Linked DNA regions of Kluyveromyces lactis. The protein of the gene in region 1 interacts with the protein of each later gene in a pairwise test. Links are inferred from orthologs where the notes say so. Each region holds a gene or a part of one and is shown on either strand. Other genes may lie near its edges. The genes, in order: SCS22 and OSH3.

The links.
Region 2: the proteins of SCS22 (region 1) and OSH3 interact in a protein complementation assay, tested with the Saccharomyces cerevisiae proteins (2 studies listed by BioGRID). The link is inferred for Kluyveromyces lactis from reciprocal best matches to the Saccharomyces cerevisiae genes SCS2 and OSH3.

What each region holds. Positions count from the first base shown.
Region 1 is NC_006041.1:623,248-626,338, forward strand, and holds SCS22 (phospholipid metabolism-regulating protein SCS22), read right to left. Parts: upstream 1,585-3,091; coding exon 760-1,584; downstream 1-759. Other genes in the region: MAP2 (methionine aminopeptidase), read right to left, coding at 2,361-3,091. UniProt on the Saccharomyces cerevisiae protein: Acts as an endoplasmic reticulum (ER) membrane anchor for cytoplasmic proteins via binding to the FFAT motif of targeted proteins. Regulates phospholipid biosynthesis by modulating the subcellular localization of the transcriptional repressor OPI1.
Region 2 is NC_006039.1:1,465,645-1,469,989, reverse strand, and holds OSH3 (oxysterol-binding protein related protein OSH3), read right to left. Parts: upstream 3,008-4,345; coding exon 65-3,007; downstream 1-64. Other genes in the region: DAD4 (Dad4p), read left to right, coding at 3,563-3,781; snoRNP complex protein NOP10, read right to left, coding at 4,003-4,176. UniProt on the Saccharomyces cerevisiae protein: Lipid transport protein (LTP) involved in non-vesicular transfer of lipids between membranes.

The DNA.
Region 1 (3,091 bases):
ATTTTTATATGTTTGACGACGGCATCAAGCGTGCATTTTTACTCACTAATAGTTGGACTTTCCACGCAGAGTTGAGTGCTGACATCGTATCGATGTGATTGGAATTACAAATATATATACTTCATGTATTCAGTGGATATCGTTGTACCTGTAGCTAGTTAAAGACAAGGGTCGGTGGTATTGTGCCAAATAGTACCTTGTCCAGCTCATTGCAATTGAGAAATCATTTGATGGCATGCGACAAATTGAATATAGGACAGTTGCCAAAAGAGCCTCTATAAACAGAAGAAAAAAAAAGGATGTAAAAAGAGCCAGAAAGAAAAGTATCAATGACGGTTGCTGAGTATATTGGGATCAATTTGAAGGAGAATTAGTTCAATATCTTTCGTCTCCCTTTGTTTTCAATGAGTTGTTTCAACGAAACAACGATGAAAAGAACAGCTGTGTCACAAGATGAACAATTTCAATACTAACTCAAATATCTTGTCAATGTCTTGGCTAGGGGAAAACATAGTACTAATGGCTGTAATGATAATACAATAACAATAATGAAGAATGATTTTAGCCGCATGAAGAAATCCTGCAAAGAAAAGAACAAACAGGTTAAAAAGTACGGGGGTAATTAAAACAAAAGAAACAGACGTAGATAAGAAAAGAAATACGAATATAATTCATAACAACATTTCTATCAAAGTCGAGAAATATGTTGTCATATATTATACGATGGTTGATAGTTCCCTCACTTAATCAGAATGTATCCTAAGATAACCAATACCAAAGTAAGAAACCTATAACGATCCAAATGACCACGGCCGGTGCAATATTCGACGTACTAGCGGGTTCTGCAATAATTTCAGTGTTAGCGCTGGTATCAGATTTGACCTTTTCATCGAGCTTTGGTTCACTTTCCACAACTTTTGGCTTTTCAGTATCCAGGTCAGTATTGGCAGATGCAACCGGGACAGATTTCTTTTGTACCGGTTCACTAGCGGACTCTTCTGTAGCTTTCGAACCACTAGCAATAGTTTCCTTGGCTGAAGGAATGACAGTCTCAGTTTGCACGTTATCAGTTTCTAGATTTTCCACGACTCTTGGTTCAGCATCTAGTTGATAATTTACCTTAATCTTCTTTGACAGGCCCTTGTTCTTGAACTCTGCTTCCAATTGAGGCCAAGCTTCGGCCACACTCAGTTCACCTAAATCGTAAGGAGCTGGCAAAGCTATAACCAAGAATTTATCTTTACATTTGAAATCTGGTGTAGGTTCTTCCTTCAATCCTAAAAGAATCACTTGAACATCAACGCTTTCACCGGCTGGCACCAAAGCGGCATTAGGTCTTACACAGTATACCTTAGGAGCTGTGGTCTTCACCTTAAAGGCAATTGTTTGTTCTGAGTCATTCTTGATGGTAATATGCTCAGCTGCTTGGCTAGTGAAAGGTGCTATTACGAAAACAGAGAGGTAAATCACATTGAATAATGGAATCGCAAAAATGATCCCATTAAACATTGAAATAATGATTTGGAAGCTTGTTAGTATATCGAATGCATAATAACAGAAACATAATATTGAGTATCTAAGCATCGGAGAATAATTCCATGTGGTTGAGGATATGGAACATCTATCAGAATCCCTGTAATCCTTCTAAGTATTCATCCCATTATTTGTCTCTCATGCAAGAAAAGTGAGCCAATATGGCCACACATTTGACCACACGAAGTACACTTTCAAATGCTAAACACCATATTTTGTAACTGATCATATAGTAAAGTGGTTTTTAATCCCTTTAAACCACTGCTCAAAGCGACACATACGTTTGTATTCCAATACACTTGGAGTAATTTCAACCATTGTAAACTTATAATAGTGAGAAACAGTTTATACACACTTGTGTTAGAGCTGGAAAACTAATAGACTTCCCGAATCTAACGAAATAACAAATCCCAAATAGAAAGATAAACGAATTAGATAACCGTACCTGATAATCTTCGAACAATTAACCTAGGAACCGATCACTGTAAATCCTGCCAAAAACTAAGTCTCTCTGTTCTTAATTGTAATCGCTTAGTTCAACTTTTCTTTGTTTGCAAAATGTCAAATTCGGGTATTTATGTGTGAGGGTAACCACAACAAATGAAATGGGCACTGAACCTCGTTACGTAATTATCATGCAGCGAGCAGTCGACACAGACTTCCCTCTCACTAAGAGCATTAAGCATCTTTTGAGGTACCAACAGTGCACGGTTTGATTTCAGTTCTTTTATACTTTATATTCTATTTAAACGAAACTGAATTTACCTAGATATGCATATGTTGTAGCGTTTGTTATGTATTGACTACGACAAGTCTTATGGTATCTTTCAATAGTCGTCACCACGAGAGACAATTTCCTTCTTGTGAGGATGTAGGATAAGGGTGTGTTCGAATTGAGCCGTATATGAGCCCTTAATATCGTTCAATGGTGGGTAGTCTTCTACAATACCTTGCCTCACCAATGTGTTCAAAGCGTATACGTGCTTGTCTTCGCCCAATCTATCCAAGTAACGACGACAGAACGGTATAGTTCCAAAATTTTCATCAATAACCTTTAATAGATTCTTGGCACTCGATAGGGATGGTGTTGGATGTGAACCGGGTTTCTTAGCATAATGAGAGCATTCTCCCTCTTGTATAACATACCCACGACCGGTACTCCCGAAAGTTTCGATAGCGAAATGTTCGTTTTCTTCCATCTTTGTGTTGTCACCGTTCTTGACAATTGGCACAGATTTACCCCCATGAATCGAATAAGGATTAATGTTGTGGCCGCACAAATTCCTGCATGGTTTCACTTGGTGTGTCTCACCGTTAATTTCCACTTCGTACGATTCCATCACTTCTTGAATAGCTTCACCGATATCAGTCAACCTAACGTCGATACCTGCCTCTTTAATACCAGTATTGGTTGCATCCTTCACAGCAGCCAACAAATTATCGTATTGTGGATCGAATGCAATAGTAAACGCAGAATCGATGATATAACCATTAACATGGACACCGAAATCAACTTTCATTACATCCTCGAACTTCAACACGGTCTTGTCACCAGCAT
Region 2 (4,345 bases), on another chromosome or scaffold:
GTGATGAGTGGCCGAGATAGTAACGGCCGAATGTAATGGCAACGTGCTTTTTTACCTTTTTCTTTCACCATAAAGATTTGGTGTTGCTCCAATCGTGCCTTTTTCTTCTTTCCCAGTAGTTATTTTCACCAGTAACGGGGAGCCATTTCATGGGTTTAATCTGTTTGAAGTATTGAGGTTGTGCGTCTTCGCCCTTATCTCTTCTTTCACGTTGCTTTTGTTCCAGTGACAGCTTCATTTGTTCAGCCTCTGTAATGATACCGTTTTCATACAGGCGAATATCGGGTCTCAACCGGGAATCAGTTGGTGGTAAATGATCCTTTTCTGTCTCTGTGATCTCGTTCAAGTTGGAGGTAAAAACGGTGAATCCGTATTTCTTTTCACTGTTTTCCACTAACGGTCCGCATTTCCAAATTTGTTGGCCGTTATCGAGATCTCGGACCTCTTTGGTCCACTGTCCCTTGAGGGATCCAAGCTTTTGGCCCTTCTCGTTGACAAGACTCACGTCGACGTCTTCGGATCTTCCACTGAACATGCCTCCAGCTTTGAATGCAATGATGGATTTGAGATTCGTAGACGTTGATATTGAGAACTGGTTACTGGGTTCCATGTACCTTTCACCAGCAATGATGTTTTTCAATACGATGGTAGGTTGGGACCATCTGTATTTAGCATCGATGTTGTTGAAAGTTAGTTCGAATACTCCCTCGTTGGTAAATTCGATGGATTTCCCCCAGAATTTCTGAACCGGTGTTACGGTGTATGAGCATTTCCAATCCCTGTGTTCTGTGTAAAATGCAAAAATAGGTGGTTTATGGCACACTTTTTCTGAAACTAATCGGATACCCATATCCTCACGTACTAGTTCATACGTTTCACCCAACAATGGGGTGAATGGCTTCCGTAGTGATCTTGTCTTTTGTCTGTGAATGGACATGTATGACAGTGCAAATGCACTGATGTATTTCAACCTTTGAACTTCGTCGTCTTCCATTGTGGCAGCTTTGCTTAAAAGCCAACTGTATTCGAATGCCTCGGATAGCACTTGTAAGATAGATACGGGTTCGTTTAAACTGATCGGCATTGAAATGCTGGATAGATCCTTACCGACATTTTTCCGTAAGAATCCTAATAAACTTGGTGGGGTTGATACTGGTATTGCGATATCGTTTCTGCGCTTTATAGTTTTGTTGATTGGTAATGGTGATAGATCTTGAGATCTCGATGTTGCTGTTTCTATAGTCTTTCTATCTGTTGATGTCATTAATTCATTACTAGTTGGTGTTGTTGTTGTTGTTGTTGTCATTTCATCTTCTTCCTCCTCCTCTTCTTCTTCAGCTTCTTCTTCCTCCTCTCCTTCGCCTTCCTCCTCTTCATCCTCGTCATTATAAGAGCTGTATATTGGTCTGATATCGGTTTCAAAGGCCACATCGTCATTTAACATCGTGATGATAGGTTCTTCATTTGCATCGAAATATTCGTCATCTGAAAAGATGGAAGCAGTTGGCGATCTGGGAACCCATTTAGTAGCTAACATCTTACCATCAATATCAAGTTGCTTGGCAATTTTCTCCAAATCAGCTAGCTTTCTATATAAGTCATGATGTTGAGGCTCGTTGGGATTATTAGATAAGATCGAAGTATCATGGCCTGAGGTAGCTTGTTCTACAAATGAACCGTTCCGTTGCCTAGAAAAGGAGTTCATGAATGAAGAAACAGACGAGGACCGTGACACATTCCTCTGTTGCTTTGAAGATGTCGGAGGGCCCTGAATGGGAGATACTATTGCGTTAGGTGTGTAGTTAGAATAGGATAAAGATTGATACTTGCATTCTTCTATTCTTTTCCTTAGGGATGTTAAATTGCGGAAAAATGCTGTGGTATCATTATCAGGAGGAATGACAACGTTATGCGATTCGTGATCTTGCGAAGTAGTTGGGGCGTCTTGTTTGAAACATGACTCGATCATTGAAATCCAAAGTTCCCAATCTTTTTCGTCACGAGCTTTCATGACCCAGATCTCCATGCCTGAGTCAATGATAATAAGTTTAGTTTGCTTATTTGCACTTATTGATGAAAGTGGGACAACAATCTCACCACGACACACAGGAGATTTAGAGTTGAGATAATATGAGAGAATCCCAAATTTTATATCGAGTTTAAAGAACCGTTTGGTAAAACCTTGTAGCTTCTTTCTCTTCTTTTTTAGTAAATATCCTTGGAATCCTTTACTGTTTTTCAAATCGTGATCTGTCGCGGATGTAGAACTTGGACTCAGTGGTTTTATTGGCACTGGAGAATTAGTGTTTGGTCCGTTAGATGTACCCACGTTGGAAATTGTGCTTGGAGTAGTCTGGCCTGGAGATGGCGCAAATGGATTGGAATTCGATTTTGCTAATGAGGACAAAGATGGATCCTTGAATGACGTTTGGCTATAATTCAAAGGTCGCTTGCCATTCGTCCCATTGGCACCAAAGCTTTCCTCTTGGTTTGAAATGACGGATTCCTGATCGTCATCCAAACCTTCCATTGCCGATGCACTAGGGTTGATACTCACCGAAAATAAACATTTTTTCTTAGTCTGCTTCGAAGTAGTATTGTCTAAAATGAACGCGTAATAACAACTCTCACAAGTTGATTCGAACGATTCGGCAACGGTATCGTTGTTAGAAATGGTCCCATACCAGGTCACCTTTTCCAGACCGCTTTGTGCTAACCTTGTTTGCAACGGCACGTTTTTGTCCTTTTCGTGATCTGCCAAGGCAACGTTAGGCTTGGCATCGGTTGAAATTCGAATTAACGGATTAGTATTACTATTCGAAGAAGCTTTTACACTCCCATGGTTTGTTTCACTCAAATCAGTCGTGGATGATCCACCAAACCGTCTGTATATACCAAACCCTATCGATTTTTTCAAAGGTTTCAACCGAAACGAAACTATATCACCTTGAGAAACTTTCTGCCAACGCACAACAAATGATTTATTTTGAACGTCAATAGTATCCATGTTTGATGCCGAAAAAAATTTAATAGTTACAATTGAATCACTCTCGAAACTAAGTAGACGTTCCAATCTACCTTTATCGGTCGGTTATTCGCTGAAAAATCAATTCTGAATAAGAGAGATTAACCAGGGGAAAAGATCAACAAACACCTGATAGGCACGCAGTAAGAATGGTAATTATTCACAGGTGAAATTTAACTGACAATATCCGTTACCAGCAATTATCACCAAATTGATATATGATGCCCGCCAAAAGCTCGAAACGCACACTAGAAGTCTGTTATAGATGAAATTTGGATCCTTGTTTACTTCAAATTAAAGGTTTAGTTTATTATACTCAAGCTTTTTTTTAATTCATTTTCACTGAGAAGCTGCTTTGGGGCAGGTACTAATTTTCATCATTTAAAAAAAAAAAAAAAAAGGTTTATAATAGCATCCAACATGTATTCAAATGCAAAACATCGGTCAAAAATGTAAACCACAAGGAAAACACAGGCACTAGAGGCTACAAAACTGGTGTATAACTATCCGTCATCAGTTATATTTGTGATACATACCATGGAAAACCCGTATGAGAAAGTTCAAAGCAATATTCTGGCTAGAATCATTGGCAATGTCGAAAGGTTGAACCAGAGTGTAGTGATACTAAACCAAGAGCTTCGAAGGGTAAACACCAAGAATAAGAATTTGGAACTGATGTCACAAATGTGTGAGAACTATAGAGAATCTGTTGATTTCCAGTTGCAGGCAACTTCCAAGAAACAGGACCCATTGTAAGGTCTCACATATATTCTAACGAGAAGAATTTATTAAAAAAAAAAAGCAGTTACTTAAGTGATGTAGTATGTACGTATATACATACGCCTTTTTATAGTCGGTTTCAGGACCGTACTGATTCTAATTTACAGATAATAATGGATTAATTTTTTTTGTTCATGTTCAGTGAGTTTTAACCGGTGCAATTTTGTCTGCGGATTGTGTTCCAACTTGTAGGGACCTTAGTTTGGCAAAAGGTTGTATCTCTTCTTCAAAGTAACTCTTTGTCTGGAGTATTTGTCATCTGGAGAGAATCTAGCAGGGTGAGCAGACTTTGTAATTTCATTATCCTCAGTCATCTTCTTCAAAGTATAGATTCTCTTGCCTTGGGCATCCAAAGTGTACATCAAATGCATAGTGGGTAGTGGGTAGAGTGTGATAGATGCTTTTGGTTGGAAGTGAAAAGGAACTAGATATATGGATAACAAGACACTTTCTTTCAAGCGATGAGCTATACCGATCAGTTAGTTAATGCTATGTTGAAAAACTGATTATATCTCTTTGAAAATTTAGCAGATGCACTTG